3 linked regions of the Pelodiscus sinensis genome follow. The protein of the gene in region 1 purifies or fractionates together with the protein of each later gene. This does not show direct contact. Links are inferred from orthologs where the notes say so. Each region holds a gene or a part of one and is shown in the gene's direction. Other genes may lie near its edges.

Evidence for each region. The genes of interacting proteins can lie anywhere in the genome.
Region 2: the proteins of NCBP3 (region 1) and THOC2 purify together in Homo sapiens (co-immunoprecipitation; 3 studies listed by BioGRID and IntAct, with this or other methods). This does not show direct contact. The link is inferred for Pelodiscus sinensis from reciprocal best matches to the Homo sapiens genes NCBP3 and THOC2.
Region 3: the proteins of NCBP3 (region 1) and THOC5 purify together in Homo sapiens (co-immunoprecipitation; 3 studies listed by BioGRID and IntAct, with this or other methods). This does not show direct contact. The link is inferred for Pelodiscus sinensis from reciprocal best matches to the Homo sapiens genes NCBP3 and THOC5.

What each region holds. Positions count from the first base shown.
Region 1 is NC_134731.1:14,838,646-14,845,695, forward strand, and holds the start of NCBP3 (nuclear cap-binding protein subunit 3), read left to right. Parts: upstream 1-3,991; 5' UTR 3,992-4,123; coding exon 4,124-4,270; intron 4,271-5,548; coding exon 5,549-5,614; intron 5,615-7,050. UniProt on the Homo sapiens protein: Associates with NCBP1/CBP80 to form an alternative cap-binding complex (CBC) which plays a key role in mRNA export. NCBP3 serves as adapter protein linking the capped RNAs (m7GpppG-capped RNA) to NCBP1/CBP80.
Region 2 is NC_134723.1:32,406,123-32,413,202, forward strand, and holds the start of THOC2 (THO complex subunit 2), read left to right. Parts: upstream 1-4,039; 5' UTR 4,040-4,122; coding exon 4,123-4,190; intron 4,191-7,080. UniProt on the Homo sapiens protein: Component of the THO subcomplex of the TREX complex which is thought to couple mRNA transcription, processing and nuclear export, and which specifically associates with spliced mRNA and not with unspliced pre-mRNA.
Region 3 is NC_134725.1:5,322,099-5,329,562, forward strand, and holds the start of THOC5 (THO complex subunit 5), read left to right. Parts: upstream 1-4,423; 5' UTR 4,424-4,798; coding exon 4,799-4,894; intron 4,895-5,536; coding exon 5,537-5,680; intron 5,681-6,664; coding exon 6,665-6,778; intron 6,779-7,302; coding exon 7,303-7,400; intron 7,401-7,464. UniProt on the Homo sapiens protein: Component of the THO subcomplex of the TREX complex which is thought to couple mRNA transcription, processing and nuclear export, and which specifically associates with spliced mRNA and not with unspliced pre-mRNA.

The sequences.
Region 1 (7,050 bases):
AGTAATGGGCTTAAAGTGCAGCAGGGGAGGTTTAGATTGGACATTAGGAAAAAATTCCTAACTGTCAGGGTGGTCAAATATTGGAATAAATTGCCAAGGGAGGTGGTGGAATCTCCCTCTCTGGAGATATTTAAGAACAGGTTAGATAGACATCTGTCAGGGATGGTGTAGACGGAGCTTGATCCTGCCTTGAGGGCGGGGAGCTGGACTCGATGACCTCTCGAGGTCCCTTCCAGTCCTATTATTCTATGATTCTATGATTCTATGGACAGTAATTGGCAGGTGCTACACACCCTGAGAAATATACTCGCATATTGTGTGCAACTGAGCAATAAATTACAAACATTGCAAACATACACACCTCAGCAGCAATACAAAGTGACTGTAGACGAAAGAAATGTTGCTTTTCGAGTACCTGAGAGATCAGGGAGAAGGGAAAACAAAATATTGGTTTTCATCTCCTAGTCTTGATTTCCTTAGTATGACTAATAGCAAGAAACTTTATTGCAATACCAAACCATGTCATAACATGATAAGGGCAGAACAATGTAACAGCTGCACTCTCTAACATAGTTGTAATCATCATGTAGAAAATGCCGTAGCTACAACTCAAGAGTGCTCTGATCAGAACACATTTGGATCTTTTTCAACAGCTTTCAAGTCCCTATAAGGTTGTTACAAGGAGGAGAGAGAAAAATTGTTTTCCTTAACCTCTGATGATAGGACAAGAAGCAATGGGCTTAAATTGCAGCAAGGGAGGTTTCGGTTGTATGTTAGGAAAAATTTATTAATTGTCAGGCTGGTTGAGCTCTGGAATAAGTTGTCTAGGAGGTTGTGGAATCTCCATTATTGAAAAATGTTAAGACCATATTAGACAAGCACTTGTCAGATGGTCTAGCTCCTGGGTGGGAAATAATTTTTGATGGGGGGCACTCCAAGATTTTGGTATATGGTCAAGGGTCTATGGAGGGGTTGTGGGGTCTGGGATGGAGGTTAGATGCAGAGGGAGCTTGGGATTGGGGTGCAGGAGAGGGTGTGGGGTCTGAGAGGCAGTTAGGGTGAAGCTAAGGGTTGTGATCTGGAGCAAGGGGTTGGGTGCAAAGTTCAGGAGGGGATATAGGTGAGAGAGGATTCTGGCCTGGGATAAGGGTGTAAGGGGTGTGCAGGGTCTGACAGTTGTGACTGGGGGCACGTGTGTGTGTGTACGCAGAGTGTTTTGGTTGTGATCTGGAGCAGGAGGTGGTGGTGACCTGGGGCAGAGAGTTGGGATGCAGAAAGGACTGGGATGCCAGAGATAGGCTCTTGATGAGAGGTACTTACCTAGGCAGCTCTCAGCCAGCATCCCAGAAGGACCTTCAGGCAGGTTCCCTGCCTGCTGCAGCCCCAGGGTTCAGAGCAGCTGGCTGCTTCATCTGCTTCCATGCACCAGAAAGGGAGGGGGGAAGCTTCATGCACTGCCCCTGCCCCCAGCATAATCTTTCAGCTCCCATGGGCCAGAACCAGCCAATGGGAGCCAAGAGATAGTACTGAGCGCTTGGGTAACCAATTAGAACCGACCAATGGGAAGTGAAAGATTGTGCTGGGGCAGGGGGAGCACACAAAGAATCCTCCTCCTTCCTCTCCTCACTGATGCAGAGAGGCAAATGGAGCAGCCAGACACTCAGAGCCTTGGCTGCCCTGTCCCATACACTGATGTTAGACTAGGACTGAATCCTGCTTAATGGAACACAGGTTCAACACCTGCACCATCTCTATCACCATGTATTAACCCAGTCAAATAAAATAGCTGGAACAACTAGGCTACGTCTACACTGGCCCCAAATTCCGGAAAAGGGATGCAAATCAGGTAAGTCAGGATAGGGAAATCCGCGGGAGATTTAAATATCCCCCGCGGATTTAAATAAACATGTCCGATGCTTTTTTTCCGGCTTGGGGAAAAGCCGGAAAAAAAGCATCTAGACTGGCGCGATCCTCCGGAATAAAGCCCTTTTCCGGAGGATCTCTTATTCCTACCTGAGAAGGTAGGTTGGAGGGGTTTTTCTTTCTCACTTGTGTGGTTCCCAACTTATTTTTGTGTGTGTCAGTGGCCCCTACCCTAAAAAAGACTCCCCACCCCTTCCATAAATAAAGACAATGTTGAAACTTTTTTGTGTTGGACATAATATTTTACTTAATTTAAAATGAAGCCTGGCCAATAACGCTCCAATTGGGACCCAGCCCCCATCTGGCTGCAGCTTTCTGTCCCCGGCCTCCATCTTGGGACAGGCCTCGACTGGCCTCAGAAAGGGCTGGTGGCAGCTCTCCCCCCCCCCCCCCCCCCACTTCAGGATGGGTAAGAAGAGAGACCACAATCCAGCTGGGGGTTGGCAAGCATACCAAGATCTGAAGCCCTCTTAGTGGTAATATTAAATTAAGATTATCTGCATGAGGAGATGACCATACTGCCATACTGTGACTGAGTCCCTGGACACTGTAGCGTTTTAGGGGTTTTTTAGTTTTTTTCAGAGGGCCCACAGGGTCTTCCCAGGGAATTTATTATTTCCCCAAGAATATACACATGGATTTATACCAATGCTTCAGATTGCGCAAATAAACCCACTATTAGCCTTTTGAGGACGACGCTAAAGTTTAGGTCAACAGAGCCATAGCGCTAAAAAATTGACACTCATGAGCACTGCAGCTCTGCCAACCTACACCTCTGTGGTCCCCTGGTGCTGTGATATCACAACATGACCTGGTGCTCTCCATAGGGTTGCCATACTTGAACTTTCAAAAAAAGAGAACACTTCTGAGAGGGAGGCTACGTCTAGATTGCATCCCTTTTTCGTAAAAGGGATGCAAATTCGACATATCGCAATTACTAATGAAGCGGGGATTTAAATCTCCCCTGCTTCATTAGCATAAAAATGGCTGCCGCTTTTTTTCGGCACGGAGCTTTGCCGGAAAAAAGCGCCAGTCTAGACGCAGGTCTTTCGGAAAATAAAGCCTTTTCCGAAAGATCCCTTATCCCTCTTAAAATAAGGGATAAAGGATCTTTCGGAAAAGGCTTTATTTTCCGAAAGATCTGCGTCTAGACTGGTGCTTTTTTCCAGCAAAGTTCCGTGCCGAAGAAAAGGGGCAGCCATTTTTATGCTAATGAAGCAGGTGAGATTTAAATCCCCGCTTCATTAGCAATTGCGATACATCTAATTTGCATCCCTTTTACGGAAAAGGGATGCAATCTAGACGTAGCCGGAGTGTATCTGGATCAGTATCTACCAACTCACATATTAATGTGTTATATAGTACAGTGTTTCTCAGCCAGTGGTTGAGAGAACTCTGGAGGGTACATCAACACAACTAAAATTGGAGAAAACTGAATTTTTGTTTTAAGTTTTACAGCGTTTTATTATTTTTGTACTTTTTACACGCCAAAATTTCATCACCCACCTGGCTACTATTAAGTTGTTTAAACAAATGTGTTGCAAAATGGTAGAAAAAAATGTGTGTGTCTGAAAACTATAGGTACTGGGGGTACTTAAAATTTATTTATTTATGTTTTTGGAAAAGGGGTACTTTATAAAAAAAAAAAGGTTGAGAAACACCGATACAGTGTACAACGTGAGTTGGTAGATACTGATACAGATACACTCCCTCTCAAGAGTGCCGCCTTTTGGAAAGTTGGAATATGGTAACCCTATCTCTCGTGAAATGTGCACAATGCTGCCATGACACAATGTTGTGATGCCCTTGTGAGCTGCACTGTATTGTGCTCCCCCTCCCCCCAGGGCTGCAGGTGACCTGCCCGGAGGAATTGTGGGGCGGGAGGGCTGCTCAGGCTCAAGGCTGTAGGATTTTCGACTGTAGGCAGAACCAGACTCCACACAGGCAACTGGCCGCTCTAGCCTCTCCTCTGTACTCTATGCCACTGGAGGACCGAGCTGGTCGCGCTCCCTCCCTGTCTCTATGGCATGAAGAGCGCTCTTGCCGCCGTCTCTATGGTCGTGGCGGCGGCGGCGCGCTGTCCGCCAGCCCGCGTCTCTGTGGTAACGCAGGCCGGCTGGGAGGCGCGGCGCTCCGTCCATCCGGCGGGCCCCTCTCTCTGGTCGCGGCCTGAGGGCGTGTGGGCCGGCTTGGCGGAGCGATGGCGGCCGTGCGGGGCCTGCGGATCTCGGTGAAGGCGGAGGCGGAGGCGGAGCAGCCCCGCGGCCCCGAGCCCGAGCCCATGGAGGTGGAGGAGGGCGAGCTGGAGACCGTCCCCGTGCGGCGCTCGCTGCGGGAGCTCGTCCCGGTGCGGGGACAATGGGGGAGGGGGCCGGGCGCGGGAAGCGGGCGGGGGGGGGGGGTCGGTGCGAGAGGCGGGGCAGGCAGCCCGGGACCGAGGTACTAAAGGGGAAGCCACAGCGACCCCTCAGTCTGAGGCTGAGCGGGGGGGGGGGAGCCCCGGGTTTTCTTCCAGGGGGGACGCTGAGTCTCAGCGCTAAGGGAAACGGTCACTGGGGCGGGGGGGTGACACTGGGTTATCGCCTGGCAGAGACTGGACCCGCTTTGCTGCGGGCTTGTGAACTCCCCAGCGCTAACTGATGACAGCGGAAACCCTGTTTTATTCCCCCCCCCCCCCCCTTCGCCCTGCACGTCGCTCTTGTGACATTAATCGGGCGATTTCACGAAACAAAGGCAGGGCTATTTGGGGAAATGGGACTAGACTCAAAGGTGCGAAGAGGCTTACAAGTGACTTTCTGTTTAATACAAAAGTGCAGATGAATGGTCTCTTGTTCTAAAGGGGACTTGATAAGAGCCTGGTACATTGTCATTTTTAGAGTCTGGTATCTTAAAATAATTTGGTGATAAAAGATTTTTTTCAATTGGAAGACATGGAAGTTAGGCTCATTCTGCATTGGCACAGTATAGACTTTCTGTCTGGGGTGTGAAAAAACACACCTCTCTCACAAGTGTAGCAAGTCTGCAGTGCTGGGGGTCAATGAAGAAACTCTTCCATTGACTTTCCTTACTTTTCTCGTCCACATTAGAGTAGAGAAGTCGATGGCAGACTGCAGTCTATTTGACAGGTCTAAACTGTACACACTAAATCAATGGCTTGTGGATTGATTTCAGGGGGTCAGTATTATAGACAAAGGCTTAGTCAGTGTTGTACACATCTTGGTCAAGAAGATAATGGAGCTTAGATCTTGTCTATACTGTTACTTTACTGCACTTTAACTTTCTTAGGCAGGGATGTGAAAAAACACCCCCAAGCGCAGCCATTAACAGCGCTGTAAAGTGCCATTATAAACAGACTCCCAGTGCAGGGAGCCATGCTCTCCACATTCTGTTAACCACCTCTATGAGGGGAATAGCTTACTTACAGTGGTAGGAGAGCTCTCCCATTGATGGTGCTGTAACCCCATTGCCACAGCTTCACTTTAAACTTACAAGTGCAGACAAAGCCTCTGAGTTCAGAGAAAGTAGAAAGAAATGGTTTTATTTTAGAACTGTTTGCCAGATGAGATTTTATCAGTCTAACTGATTTATTGTATTTTGCCATCATCACAATTCTGCTTTGTTTCAGGACACTAGTAGAAGGTATGAAAACAAAGCTGGAAGTTTCATCACAGGAATAGATGTCACCTCCAAGGTATTATTGTGTTGTGGGTTTTCTTCAGTACTGTTGTCTGATGGGAAGCACTGTTAGTCTTCAGGAATTTCGGAGAAATGGTCATTTTTAGATTCACTTAGACCAGTGATTAGCTTTTTAATGTGTCTTCTGCAGCAGTTCTCTCTCTCTCTCTCTCTCTCTCTCTCTCTCTCTCTCTCTCTCTCTCTCTCTCTCTCTCTCTCTATATATATATATATATATATATATATATATATATATATATAAAATTCCTGTGGGATTGGTCCTGCCTTAGGCAGGGGGCTGGACTTGATGACCTCCTGAGGTCTCTTCCAGCTCTATGATTCTGTGAGTTTATGACAAACTGATGTCATCACATCACAGCTTCCACAGGGTGAGTAGGCACACTCCACCCCTTCCACTCTGGGCCCCATCTCTGGTGTCAAGCTCCACCCACCGCCAGCCCAGCTCTCTCCAGTGGCCACATGGAGAGTTGGCCTGGCGTGCTGCAGCCTGGCCTTTCCTGGACTCCAGGGACTGGTGTGGGCCTGACCTGGCACGCCATGGCCTGGCCTTCACCTGGGATCAAGAGCAGGTCTGGGACTGGGCTGTCACACTGCAGCCCAGCCTTTGCAGAGGGCACTACGGCCCAGCCTTCCCTGGGGGCTGAGGGTATGGCTAAGTCTAGCCTGGTGCGCCACTGGCCAGCCTTTGCCAGGGGCCATGGGCAGGTCTGGGCCTGGCGCAGCTGGCACAACCGAGGGTGGGGGAGAGAAAGGGCCCGAGGTTGGCATGGCAGTGGGGAACAGAGGAGGGGCCCAGCCCGGCATGGCTGCACCCCAGCCCTCCCCAGTAGCTGGGGAAAAAGCCAGGATTGCCTACTCGCTGCAAGAGGGAGGTTGGCTAGTGTAGCTAGCAGTGGATGCAGCCCCCTAGTGTTATTAAAGCACTGTGATTTAATTATTAACCCACCAGAATGCTTTTACTTTGTTATTAACCAATTGTAGTTGATAAATCAATACTTGATTAATCATTTTGCTGTGAGAAACATATATAAAATGAAACAATGTCACACTACTGTGGCTCTTTTGGGCAATGTTGTTTGCTAATTTGGCTCCTAAACCACTGAAGTCTGATTATTACTGACTTCACACACTCTTCTATAATTGTAGACATATAATCCCTGACACACAATATTCTTGTTTTGGTGGTGGGTTGGTAACATTTTTTCTTACGCTGTGATGTCTGTCTTTTGTAAGTTATGAGAAGCCCCAATTTGCAAGTCATAAAATCTACAAAAATAAATAAGCTTTATGAAAATGCTGAGCCAAACACTTCTGTGATTTTACATTGAAAGATTTATTTGTAGACAAAGTTCTTATACTTGCCAAGAATTTGTAATACCGTTTCTAAAAGCTCAGTGCATTTGCCAAAAAAACAAGGAAACTCTGTTGGAA
Region 2 (7,080 bases), on another chromosome or scaffold:
ATGGAAACAAATTATTACAGCACAATACAAAGCACAAAAAAGAAGGTTCAGTCTGTTGCAGAGCTGACTGGCATAACAGGAATCAAAACCCAATTTTTCATGAAGGCACCTCTGGTTGCTGAGGATGTGATTCCAGAAAAAGTATAGCGTGTGTCTTTCCCCACCCTGTATTTTACTGAAATTGTCTTTTTTCCTTATTCATAACCGGCTTTTTCTCTTTGTTATAATGTATCTTTTTTACACCTAATTGTTTTTGATTAACTGCATTTGTCTCTGATAGTTTTTCACTTAAAGTGGTGATGGAGCAAGGCTAGACAACTAATTATTTTACTTCACTGGCTATCCACGGCAGGACAACTGCCTCCGATTTGAATGGATCATCTCCAAGACGTATTATCACCTATCTGGTGACTAACTCTGCACTGATTAGGCCTCAGCTGGAGTACTGTGTCCAGTTCTGGGCACCACATTTCAAGAAAGATGGGAAGAAATTGGAGGTCCCGAGATGAGGTACAAAAATTATAAAAGGGCTAGAAAACATGAGCTATGAGGCAAGGCTGAAGGAATTGAGCTTGTTTAGTTTAGAAAAGAGGAGATTGAGAGAGGACAAGATAGTGGTTTTCAAGGATCTAAAAGGGTGTCACACGGAGGGAGAAAAATTGTTTTTCCTGGCCTCTGATCACAGAACAAGAAGCAATGGGCTTAAACTGCAGCAAGGGACATACATCTAGGTTGGACATTAGGAAAAACTTCCTGTCAGAGTAGTTAAACAGTGGAATAAATTGCCTAGGGAAGTTGTGGAATTTCCATTTCTAGAGATATTTAAGAGCAGGTTAGGTAGACATCTATTAGGAATGATCTTCTAAGCAGTGCTTGATCCTGCTGTGAGGGCAGGGGACTGGACTCGATGACCTCTCAAGGTCCCTTCCAGTTCTAGTATTCTATGATTCTAGTTAAGATCTGGATTAGGCTTGTAAGAGATGCTGTGGAAGTGCCATCACTGAATTTTTAAAAAAACAGATTGGATAAACATCTATCAAGGACGGTTTAGGAGTGCATAGTCCTACTCAGTGAGGCAGGCTGAACTAGATGAGTTCTTAAGGTACCTTCCAACTCTACATTTTTATGATTTTATGAACATTTTGGGTCCTCTTTATTGAAAAAGCATCCAGCTCTGCAATGGCTGAATTTGGTGGGAAATTTACTTTACTACAGGTTGGACCTGCCTGTTCTGACACCCTCTGGTCCTGAGGGGTCCCAAACCCTGGAGTTTGCGAGACCAGGGCAGGTCAAGGCTCCTTTCTTGGCTGTCAGCCCGTCTTGGCCACCGGGGATTCTGCTTCCATCCCCCGCCAGAGCTCAACTTCCCCACTGCTGGCCGTGCTGCTTCTAGCCAACCAGGCTCCCTGGTCCAGCAATATCTGTGATCCTGCCAGAACATGGATGTTGCTAGACCAGAGTATCCTGGATTTTAGAGGTGCAATCTATATTCCATAAGTATAGACTCTGGTTTGTTTTCTATGATTTTGTTTTGTGATGTAACCACTATTTCTTATTACATCTTTATTTTTACTTTAATAAACCTTACTTAGCTTTATTTTAAGTGCTAACAAGTGCTGCATTGTCTGTAGGAATGGTGGCTCAAGATAAAACTGGTAAATTGGGGCTCACTGCACCTTGTTTACATGGAAGGCCAATATTAGCACAATGATGATATATTTTTAATTATTTTATATAAATGTTTTGGCCTTTTTGAAAAAAAGGTAAAAATACCACCTATTTTTCTCTTCATTCATTGCTCCCTTAAATCTATTCTGTTCCTCAGAGGGACACAAAAAAAGTAGCCTTTTTTCAAAAAAAAATTCACCTGCATCTAGACTGCAGCCGCGTTCTTTTGAAAGTAAATCGAAAAAAACCAGCAGTTTTTTCAATCGTGGTAAACCTCATTTTATGAGAAATAATGCCTTTTTTCGAAAGTACCGTTTCTAAAAAAGGCGCTATTGAATGCAAACTGTTCTTTTTCGAAAGAGAGCATCTAGACTCTTTCAAAAAAGCGGCTCCCTTTTTCAAAAAATCTGCTTGTTGTCTAGACGCTGTCTTTTGAAAGAGGCTTTTTTGAAAGATTCTTTCGAAAAAGCCTCTTTTGAAAGAGGCTTGTAGTTTAGATGTAGCTAAAGAGAGCCTCCAGCAAGTACTCCACTGGTAATAGTTTAGGAATTTCCTCTGAGATAATGGCTCAAGCCCATCAGAGACCAAAGACTCTGAATATACTTTAAAAGAAAAAAAAGACCCTGTATTCTTCAAATGTTGAAGTTTGAACTGTGAAACTAAGGCTTAGTCTACACTACAGTTAGAGTGGCATAAGGCAAATTATTCTCACTGATGTAAGTAGCCTGCTACACTAACTTAGGCCTTGTCTATACTATTGCAGACCATCGACTTATGTTACTGCAGTATCTTCACAGCAGTAAGTTGACAGCTGATGCTCTCCTGTCGACTCCGCTTAACTCTTCTGGTTTTGGTGGTGTATCAAGAGTCAACGGGAGAGCGCTCGGTGGTCAATTTATCTAGACATGACAAACTGACCCTTTGCTTACATGATCACTGCCTATTGATCCAGCCTAACATGAAGATATGTCCTTAGTAATTCCACCTCTGCAAGAGGCATAGCTCTTATGTCAATGCAGGATCAGTGTAGACACTGCATTGCTTACATCACATCACATCACCATTTGCTGCCTATCAGAGCCTCACTGCCCGGAACTGACATCTAGAGTTCTGCCACTTGGGGCTGATAGCATAGCAAGTAACTTAAGGTGACTTAATTTTGTAGACCTGCCCTAAGATTTCTGAAATGAAGGGACCATTCTTTCTTTTCAATAGATTTAGAATATAACTATCAACCTATCTGTATGACAATTAACAGATTAAATGACTTTTTACACACAAACAAGTTTTGTAGTCCTTGACTGCAACTCTATCACTGAAACCTACAAATTAATATTACTACTATAAATTCGTATAACAGAGCTACAGAATTAGATAAGTCTTACTGATACCCTTTTGCTAAATATCTCAGAATACATTTATTTTAACAAGTATGTGAAGTCACAGACATATGCATGGATTTTGGCTGAGACTATAAGGGAGAGACATGGGGAAATGTCCCTGCAAACCCGGAGCTATTGATATGGGATAGGTGGAGGCCTGGTGTTGTGGCACATTTGGTGTAAAGTTGCTGGGTACCCAGTGTCCCCAAGACATAGGGGAGGGGGAGTTAGTGGAGAACAGATGTTACCATTGTGATGGGCAGCCTGCTAGAGTTTTTTTTGGAGGGGGTGGGGGGCAGCGATTGATGGTCTGGTGTTATTTGGGGAAGTTGATAGTATTCATTGGGTGGATTGTAGGGATCCAGATGTATTTGGGGTAGATTGGTGAGGTCCAGGGGTTACTGGTGTTTTTGAGGGAAGACTGCAGAGGCCCACCGTATTTGGGAAACGTTGCAAGGTCCTGGTGCATTCATTGAGTGGATGATAGCAGTCTCGTTAATTGTAGGGGGATTGCTGGGCGTCCAGTGTATTTGGGAAACTTGCCGGGGCGGGGGGGGGGGGGGGGGCGGGGATATATTTATAAGATAAATGACAAGGGCTCGGGTGGTGCACTGCAGGAAGGGCTGGAAGTATTTTGGGTGGGTTGCTTGTGGCCCAGCTGTATGGGGGGGGCAGGTGGCGGATGTACTGGAAGAAGGGGCGGGGGCCATGGTGTGACTGGCGGGGGGGTCAGGAGTCACCCCTATATTGGGGGGGCTCAAGTGTTACCAGTGTGGGGGGAGGGGGGTAGCTAGGTACCGGAGTGTCTGGGGGCAGCTGGCGCGGGACTCGCTGGGCCCGGCGTTGTGTAGCCGCGGGCGGGCGCCGCTGCCGAAACTCAGCAGCCGCCCGTGGCCGGTTCCGCGCGCGCAGCGCGGGCTCGGGAGCCGTTCGGCAAGAGAGCGCGCGCACGTTCGTCTCCCAGGCTGCTCTAGGCCCGTTTCCCATCATGCCTGGCGGGAGGGCCGGCCCGTCCCCTCTGACCCCGTCCCGTCGCTCGCCTCATCCGGGCTCTCGGCGCCACACGGGGAAGATGGCGGCGGCGGGGGCGCTCCCTGCCGAGTGGATAAAGAACTGGGAGAAATCGGGCAAGAGCGAGTTGTGAGTGCGGGGCGGCGTGGGGGGAGGAGCGGACCGGGCCGGCGCTGGAGGCTAGGGCGGCCCGCCGGCCGGTCCGTAGGGGCCGGAGTTTGGGGCCCGGTCGGGTGGAGGGGCCGGGAGCTGGGTGGAGGGCAGAGTTCCGGGCTGAGTTCCCCGCACCGCTCCCTAAAGGGCCGAGCGAGCGTCCCCCACCGGCTCGGTGCCCTTTCACCCTGGCGCTCTCCCTTGGGCCTGACTCCTTCACGTCCCCCCTCCCCCGGCCTAGTTGTCCGGGCTCCCGGTGCTCTAGCGCCAAGCGCCCCGTTCCAGGCTTTGGGCCAAGCTCCCCCGACCGTTGGCCCCGTTTGATCGCCCGTACCTCCGCCCCCGCGGCTGTCGGGTTCGCCCGCTTTCCCCTGTGCCGAAGCGTCAGGCGCCCCAGTGTTGAGCGTAGTTGCAAGGGCCTCAGTCCCGAAATTCCTCCATCCGAAGGATTTAACGCCCGCGCTTCTTCCCCGATCCAGCCCAGAGCGAGGATCGTTCATCCCATCAACTCTTCTGTCATGGGCCCTTTGTGTGCCAAGAGAGTTCCGCCCAGCCCTCCCCACAAATCCATTTAGCGCTCCTGGCCTTGGCAGAGAATGATCTTGTCAGTATCACCCTAAGTCCTAAGAGGTGGCCATTCTGGCAGTATGTTGTCCACTGTGTATTGGGATTGCCTCTGATCAGAAGGTTTGATTTGACATTCACAATTTCCTCAACTGAACAATGACTTGGGCTGAAAACTTTTTAATATTGTAGATTAATCGGAAGAGTTCTTAAAAACTTTAATTTATTTGCTTTTTTATTAAGAGACACCTTCAAAGTTAAATGTTAAAGACTATTTTGTGGTGCATTTCAATGAGACATAGTATTCACATCATTAATTTTCCTTCATTTGGTATAGCTGTACAGCCCTCTGAAACAGGATGAGAAGAACGGGTGAGGTAGATGGAGAATGTAGAGGCCTTCTACATTACCATTCTTCCCTTGACCTTTTTCATTAGGTAGTGGAAGAGGGAAAGCCTTGTTGTCAGTGCCCTTGCATCATGATACAGGCTTGACATAACCGTGGCTTAAACATGTTTTGATCTATACTAAAAACTAGACTGTATTATGACCAAATAATCAGCTATATAGTAAGTCACCTGACAGTAATAACTGCAGTATAGATGAGCTTATAAAGAAATGTATGTTCAAACTATTTTTAAACTTTCCCTGTTTAGGATTCTGTGTTAACAACTGAATTCACAAAAAAATTTGAAAGATATAGTCAGTAAATAGATTGTTAGCCAGTGTCTATACATTTTTGTAGAAGAATAAAATATATAAATATATTCGTTCAGTATCTATTAAAATATGTAACTAAGTGTAGGTCACTAAACAGTATTTTTTTATATAGTATAGCCATGGTGTCCAACCAGTTTTGAATCAGTAGCCACTCTCATGACTTAGCCACACTCAACTGGCCAAATTGGCACATTTTTCAAGCCAACTAGCCACACTCAACTGGCCAAATAACCACATCTGGCTAGTGGCTAGCATGTTGGACACCATGGTAGTAGAGGTTTGACATAAAAAGGATGTATGTCAGGACTTACCTTTTTTGTGTGTGTGTGTGAGGTTATTACTTCTATCTGAGTTAGGAAGCTGTTCAATATGATTAATTTTGAAAAATACCTTATGACAGGTAATACAGAGTTAATTTTGAAAGATAATTCATAGTTGATTGTGTAAAGATTTGTGCAGAGAAAGGGTGGTGTAGCTTAGCCTTTGGCTATTGTAGGATTCACACAGGTCAGCTAAACCACTTTCTAACAAAAGGCCAAGTATCTTAAAATGTTACACAAAAGTATTGTAATCCAGTCTTTGAATCCACAATCTTAAAAAACAGAAAAGAGTATACATTCATTTTGGTTCATTCATTTTGGCTTATCCAGTAGTGTTACTAGGTTAGAAGGGACAGTGTGTAAACCCTGTTTAAGAATAATTCCCAGACAGCCTGATTTAAACAAGAGGCTGTAAATTGCCAGTGAAGTGTGACTCTGTGTGTGCATAACAGCTGTCAGTTTTTGCTGAAACATTTTTATAAATCTTCTAAACCTACATATTAAATCTTTTAAAAGTAAAAAATTGTATCCGTATGAACCATTCCAAAAGATTTTTTGCACACGTAAAGACTGGCTTTCCTAGAAGTAGAAACTGAACAATTTTGCTAGAATTTTTGTTCTGAAATACTAACAAATCTTTGTGTTAATAAACAAAAGCAACCATTGATTGCATTTTTAGATGTCAAAATGAAATACATCAACATATTTTGTACCAGTTCTAGAAATGAAGAATTAGAAGCTTAGAAAGGATGCAAAGTGTTTTGCAGAAGGCCTAGAAAGATGATATTCCAGATCTAAGCAGTTTGCAATATAAATTAAACACATAGGACAATTAATAAAGTTGATAAACTCTGGGAAGGATATGAGCTGTAGAAGGACAACACCTGTAATTCTAGCGACTAAAGCCAAGTGACAGTTCTTAGCAAAACTTGTTTTACCCATCTTTTTCATTGGGGGCAAGCTCATTTTTAGACCAATGTTTAGTTTTTAAGTATGCTGGGGCTGGCCAGAACAGAAGCAACATACCAACTTTCACTCAAATAAAACCAGTAAATGTATTGGTAACAATTTGTGGTTGATAAGAAAAAAAGGTGAAAACAAATAAGAACATTCGCTAACTGCTGTTAGTGTAGGGTAACTTATGTGATCCAAAAAGATAAGAGTCTGAAATGATATAGTGGCGAAGTTATTAGTTATCTTTAGTAAAGTATTATTTTATAATTTGGGATCATATAAATTGCCCTAATGAAATATTAAATAGT
Region 3 (7,464 bases), on another chromosome or scaffold:
GTGACCCCGCCCTGCCCTCTGTGAGGTCACTGCCCCCCTGTGTCCAGTGACCCCGCCCTGCCCTCTGTGAGGTCACTGCCCCCCTGTGTCCAGTGACTCCGCCCCGCCCCGCCCTCTGTGAGGTCACTGCCCCCCTGTGTCCAGTGATCCCACCCTGTCCCCTGTGAGGTCACTGCTGCACCCGTGTCCAGTGGTCCCGCCCCCCGCCCTCTGTAAGGTCACTGCCACACCCCTGTGTCCAGTGACCCTGCTCCACTCCCCCACCCTCACTCGCTGGGGCAAAGGGTTGGGCGGAGGGGGAGGGAAGGCTCTGATGGGGGGGCCCAGAAACTAGGCCTTGGGGAGCAGCGAAAGGCTCTGGGTGCAGCCAGACATGAGGGGTCCAGGTGCGGGAGGGGCGCCGGGCTGGGGAAGAGATGCCGGAGGTGCGCAGGGCCCTTGGTACCGCATCCAATTCTCTGCCATTCCCAGGGCTCAGACGTAGCCTCTCTCTGCGGCTCTGTGGTAATGGGCCCTCCGATCGATCCCAGCCATGGGCAGATTGTTCCCATGCATGTGTGGAATAAATGTGATGTGCACTGATGCACGCCGGAATGTGCACCACCAGTAGGAAGCCCCCTCGCTGTGGGTGTCTGCTAGTCAGCTGGGCCGCACTTCTAGGGAGACACGCGCTTTGCTTGAGGGCCGGTCAGACTCGAGCCCTCTGGGGGACACAGGCAGAGATCGGACACGGGAACCCCAGCGAGAGAATCCGACCGAGGAGTTCACAACCTCCGAGACGTCCGAGGGCTGCCCGGGGGAGTCTGTATCTGCAACCACAAGGAGCAGGGCGGGGGCACCTTCCACGCTGTCTGTGCGGCCCCAGGATTCCCCGTGGTTCGTGTCAAAGGGCCATAGCGCACTAGAACGGGAAGGGAATTCGAGAGGCATCGAGTCCCGTCCGCTGCCTTCCCGGCAGTGTAGCCCATCCCTGACAGCCTGCCCTTCAGTATCTGCAGCCTCCCTCGGCAACGTATCCCAGTGCTTGGCCGTTTTCCCGAAAGTCCAACCTCAACCTCCCTCGCTGCAGCTTCAGCCCCTTGCTCCCTGTCCTGTCCTCAGAGGCCAAGCACCATTTCCCCCTCCTCGTGACACCCTTTGAGATACTTGAAAAGCGCTCTCATGCCCCGCTCAGTCTGCTCCTTCCAAACGAAACCAGCCCAGTTCTTTCAGGCTGCCCTCGGAGCTCCTTCTCTGGACCCTCTCCAAGTTCTCCACCTCGCTCTGAAATGTGGGGCCCAGCACTCCAGCGGGGCCTGATCAGCGCAGAGCCGAGCGGGAGAACGGCTTCCCGTGTCTTGCTCCCCACTCTCCTGTCAAGGAGTTTCTTGCCAGATGAAATGTCACCTTGAGAGCTGGGTCTGCACCTGGTGCTACTGGCGGCACTGGAGCAGGGCCCGCCTCTGGGACACTCCTGGGATGCAGTTTCCAGGGATATGAGGGTGTGGTTTCCTGCCTCTCAGCTAGTGGTGGCCGCTCTTTCAATCTGGCTGCAGGCGAAGGCCTTAGGCCAGGGCTGGGCAAGACGCGGCCCAGAGGCCGGATCCGGCCCGCCTAACACTTTGATCCGGCCCACAGATGGCATATGGCCGCCTTCCATTTAGATCCGGCTGCCCAGGCCACCGAATTTCCCAGCGGTGGCTCAGATGGCTGGATCTGGCTCACTGCTCCCAGTCGCGGCGCTACCCTGGAAGGGGCCGGAGCCGCGAGCCCTTTAAATAGCCGCAGCAACCTGAGGCGGCTGCCAGGCAACGCGATAGCGGCACGGCCGGGAGCCACAAGCCCTTTGCTGTGTGTTGAATTCAAAGCCTCTGGCCCCGGACAACTCTGGGGGAAGGCTAGTCCCCAGCCCCGCCCCTTGCACCCCAGGCCCCGCCCCTTCCAGAGGGTGGAGCCAGCCCGCAAACCACATTCATTGATTGGCCCCCCTGCAAAAATTATTGCCCACCCCTGGTGTCAGAGGTGGTAAAGCTGTTAGCTTATAAGAAGCACAAAGGGTTTGTATCGGAAGAAAAGGCCAAGCGCCGCATTGATTGAGAACGCAGTGGCACGGCGGTTAGCAGATGCTCATACAAGGGTTATAGACAGACACACCCCGTGTACACGTTCTTTTATTATTTTATGTTCTGTGTACTACTTTATGGCTTGTGGATTGATTATGGGAGGAGCAGGGTTGTATCGGTTTGGATCAGTGCTTTAGTTATGGCAGGACGGATTTCCTTTTCAAGCAGAACGGTTTTGTTATCATTGTTTTTTTGAATTGGGATTAGTGGGTTTTGCATTGTTCAATTGTTGGGGCTTTTTGACGGGTGTTTGTTATTTGTAGTTGGTTTTTTGTAGTTGGTTTGGGAGGTTTTTTGTTTTAGCTGGTTTTGATTATAAATATTTTGTTTTAATTGATAGGGGCTTGTTTTTTTCCAAGCTGTTGATTTGCTCGCTGCTTGTATTTTGAAGGGGATCTGGAGCAATTTTTGGCGCTTTTCCATTTGTGTTTGGCTTTTTCCAGAGCATTTGGCTTTTCTGTGCATTGTTAACGTGCACATTGTTCAGTTTTAGAAAAGAGGGTTGATTGTTGTTCAGAGAAGCAGCGTTTCTGGTAGAGAAGCAGTGTGCACATTCAAACAAGGACGTTACATTGCAATTTGAAGAAGGGTGTTTGTTGTAAGCCTAAAACAGAACCGTGTCCATCAGGTTCTATTCCTGCGGTGGAACCAGCTCTGGACACAGTGCTCTGGCTGGTGCACCTTTACCAACGGTAAGGTCAAGGTCCTTTCTGCATTCGAGAGGGTGGCTGGCAAAGTACACCGAGGCCCAGGACTTTGCATAAAGCTCCATTTTAGCTCCATGGCTACAGAATGTGCCAATGGTTAATTACCCGCACAGTAAACAAAATCTGTGCCTTGTTTCTTCTTTTCGTTTGTTCAGCCTTGGCTTCCAGCCGTTGGATTGCTCGGAGCCTTTGTCTGCTAGACCCTAAAGCTGCCCGACTTAGTAATCTCTTTCCCAAGTAGGGTGTTCTAGACCTTGCCCTCTTCACCTTCTCTCGGCTAAGCCGCACAGACTGCGCGTCTCTAATCTCCCATTGGGAGGTGGCTCTCCTGACCTCGGATCCTCCTTCTCGCTCTCGCCTGACACCTCTGCAACGTGTCCACGTTCTTTCGGAAGCCTGGGCCCCAGGACTAGGCAGCTACCGAGATGTCGGCGCGAAGGCCGTGCACGGTGTCCTACTGCTTACGCACCCCAGGTCCGTTAGACCTGCCGGCCAGCGCCATGTGCCTCGATTAGAGATACTGGCCTCCGCGGTGCTCGTTCTGGCCACAGGCTATTTCGAAATAACCTCCAAATCAGCCACACAATTTGGGGAGCTTATTTCGCGGTCAGGGCGCTGTGCAGACGCACCCTGAGTGTCCTTGTTGCGTGCAGCGGGGGGGGGCTTGCACAGGCCCGTGTTTGATTTTAGACCCGTCCACGTGCTAGACCAGGAGTAGGCAGGCGCAGGGCGCACGGCTGGGGGCCCTTGCCGAGTCCCCGGCAGGGCTGAGCGCTGCGCCCGGGTCGGGGGTCCCAGCGCCGTAGCTCCCTCCAGGAGCTGGGGGGTTCCTTGTCCTGAGGGGGGTGGCGTCAGCCCCACAAGGGACACCCTTCCCGCCACGGCTGGGAACGCCACGTGCAGCAGTGCCTGGCCCCGCCCACACCACCCTGAGGAGGGCTACAGCGGCCCCGGGCCCCGCCCCCAGGCGTAGGGGGCGTGTCCGGTGCGTGGAGGGACCTGCGGCCCCGCCCCTCGCAGCTCCGCGGCGGGCCGGCAGGGGGCGCGCTGGGCGCCGGACGCTCTAGCCCCGCGGGCCGCGCTCGTCTCCTCCGCCGCCGGATTTCCGCTGCGCCTGGCGGGCCGGTGAGCGCGGGGGGCCTGGGGCTGCCGGGGCGTTTGGCGGGTTGCGGGGGGGGCCGGGGGTTGGCGGGGGGGGCCGGGGCCGGGGAGGTTGCGGGGGGGGCGGGGGAGGCTGCGGGGGGGGCCGGGGCGGGGGGGGCCGGGGGAGGGCGGTTGGCGGGGGGGGGCCGGGGAGGCTGCGGGGGGGGCCGGGGCAGGGGGGTTGGCGGGGGGGGCCGGGGAGGCTGCGGGGGGGGCCGGGGCAGGGCGGTTGGCGGGGGGGGGCCGGGGAGGTTGCGGGGGGGGGGCCGGGGCAGGGAGGGTTGGTGGGGGGGGCCGGGGAGGTTGCGGGGGGGGGCCGGGGCAGGGAGGGTTGGTGGGGGGGGCCGGGGAGGCTGCGGGGGGGGCCGGGGCGGGGGGGGGGAGGGGAGGCTGCGGGGGGGGGCCGGGGCGGGGGGGGGAGGGGAGGCTGCGGGGGGGCCGGGGCAGGAGGGTTGGCGGGGGGGGGGGCCGGGGAGGCTGCGGGGACAAGGCCCCCGGGAGGCAGGGAGCCCCTGGGCCGGGCCTGGTGGGGAGCAGGGCAGAGTCCCGGGGCCTCTCCCGGGCGCGGGGGAGGTTCGGGGCCGAGCCGGGGAGGCCGGGATGCGGGGGGACCGCGGGAGGGGACCCCTCCTAGCCTCTGCGCTGGGGGTGACGTTGGTTTGAGGAGGGGAGACGATCGATCGGCGCAGGAGGCGCAGTGCCGAGGGGAAGCAGGGCAGAGTCGCCCCCTCCCACGGCAGCACGGGGTCTCTGACAGTCGCTCCCATTTGTTGCAGAGGCTTCGAGGGGCTCCCGTTTGGAGACCAGCTATTTCTGCTCTCCCGTCCCAGAGCCCGTGAAATAAGAATGTCGTCTGATTCGAGCAAGAAGAGGAAACCCAAGGTCATCCGCACTGACGGGGCCCCCCAGGAGAGCAAGCGGGGCAGGGTGGACCCTGATCAGGTGGGCTAATGATTGTCAGCCTGTGGCAATCCTGCGGCGGATCAGATGCTGTCGGGCTGGCAGGAGTGCAGAGGCGAAGCCGTCAGTGCTTTGTTCGGAAAGCTCTTGACATCACAAAAGCATCACCCTGTTCGTCCGCTCTGTTGTAAGGGCGAGCATCTCAAAAGCACCCGGGATTAGCTTTCCGCTGCTCGTACTCAAGTCAATGAGGTTATTACCATTGGCTTCAGTGAGCCAGATGCCAGGCCCGATCCCCAGCATCCCGAGCAAAGAAGGGTTATGACCCTGGGAACCAGAGTTGCATCTTATGCTCTCTGAGTGATTTTATCACTGTTGCAAGTTTGCACTGGCCCCCCAAAGCTCTCGGGGTGTTTTTAGAAGCCCTGAAAAGCTTGAGGGGCAATGGGCGTAGGTGGAGCCTGTCTTTCATCTTGTCTGCTCATTGAAAGAACTTTGCTCGCTGCTCTTTTTCCTCTCCTGCTTGTCAGCCTAGTACCAATATGGGATGGGACCTGATGCTGGTCTCTGGGGACACTGTAGTGCTACTGTGAACCCACTAGACAAGCAGGCCCCTGGTGGAGTGAGGCGAGCAGGGGGTTTGTTGCAGTGTTAAGTGCCGCTCTGTATTTCTGCTCTTTGCAGGATGTGAAGTATTACAGTGAGGAGGCGGAGGTGGAACTCCGAGATCCCAGCAAAGACTATGAACTGTACAAGCAAACCTGCCAGGAGCTTCAGAGGCTCATGGCAGAAATCCAGGATCTGAAGAGCAAAGGCAGCAAAGACAGCGTAAGAAGGAGCTTTTCTCCCGAGCCCTTTCAAACACTTTCTGCTGCTGCGCGAAAGCAGTGGGTTTGAAAGCCACATGGCGTCCTCAAACGGGGAAGGGGTTTGTAATGGTCCCAGCAATAGCAATGAAACGTAAGGACTGAATAGCTCAGGAGAGCGGTGCGGGGACAGGAGACCTTCTCCCAGAGAGCGAATCCAGCCTAGGTTATTGGTTACCCCTGCCTGGCGCTTGCTTGGGGGCCTGCGAGAAGCGAGTCAGGGTCTAGTTCGGCAGGTGTTCCCATAGCAAGTGGACTGTAATGAGCGAAGAGCATGGAGCTTGAACTCCCCTCTTGCCGCCGTGGGGCAGCCGTGTCAGATCAGCGCTGAGACTTAGGGTACGTCTAGACTACATGCCTCTGGCGACAGAGGCATGTAGATTAGACTACCAGGCATAGGAAAATGAAGCAGCAATTTAAATAATCGCCGCTTCATTTAAATTTACATGGCTGCCGTGCTGAGTCGATCAGCTGTTTGTCGGCTCAGCGCGGTAGTCTGGACGCGCGGGGGTTGACATCAAAGGCATTTGTCGACCTCCCAGGTATGCCTCATCCCAGGAGGCTTTCTGTTGCAGAAAGCTGGCGGCACCGCTGCCCACGCTGGGCCTTTTCTGTAGCAGGAAGGAGAGCTTCAGCGCGGGCTATTGGGCTAGCAGCTATCACTGCTCCTAAGAGGATGGAAACGAGGGTGCACCATTGACTAAACTCTGTGCCTCCAGCGCAGGGTTGAGCCACCTGATAATAGCCAGGCTGCTCTGGTCGCTGAAAGGGTTAAACCCGAGAGAAGGATGTCATGAACCTGGCCCCGGAGCCAGAATGAGCCCAGGAGGGATTTGGTGATTCCCGGGCTAAGGAAGAGTGGGTGTGTGTGTGGGGGGGGGGGGGGAATACATGTCTGTGTGGCCAGCGACCCAGCTCCTTTACCTGCTGCCTCCTCCCCTCTCAGGCAGCTGCCATCGAAGAGCGGCGGATCCAGAGCTGCATGTACTTCATGACCCTGAAGAAACTCAACCGTCTGGCTCATATTCGGCTGAAGAAGGGGCGAGATCAGACCCATGAGGTACCGTGAGGCCAGCGATTGAAAGGACCGCCCCCTGGCTGGGAGGGGCCTACCCGAGTCCACACAGGGTTCCAGCCACAGGTCTATGGAGCAGAGGCTTCCTGGGAAACTCGGCTGCCGACACTGTAATAGCCACAATGAATGAAAACGCGGCACCAGTTTGATTCGATTCTCACCTGGCACCTCCTGGTCGCCCCACAAGGCCATTGTGCACAGGCTGGGGGTGGGGTGCCAGCCAGTGTCCCTGAATCTCCTGGGTTTCACCATTCCCGAAAATCTGCCTTCTCTGGCTGGCAGCCTTGATCTCTTGCCATCTGCTCTGAGGGGTGTGGTGTTGCCGGCATGCTTCCCGGGGCGACCGGCCCGTCACAGCAGCCCCTGCGCATTGCATGGGATCATGATTAGCCGGTTAAACGTTCCATTGAACTGGTGGACTTTTAACTGGGATTTCCCATCCCTGGTTGCTCTTCTTTTTGGCTTCATCTGCACTGAGGTTTTCATGCTCCCCGCTGACGTTCTTTCAGGCAAAGCAGAAGGTAGACGCCTATCACCTGCAGCTCCAGAACCTACTCTACGAGGTGATGCATCTGCAGAAGGAGATCACCAAATGCCTGGAGTTTAAGTGAGTACTCAAGGGGGCTTAGGGAGGGTCCGATTCCTCGAGTCGCAAGGAGAGCCTAGTTCCA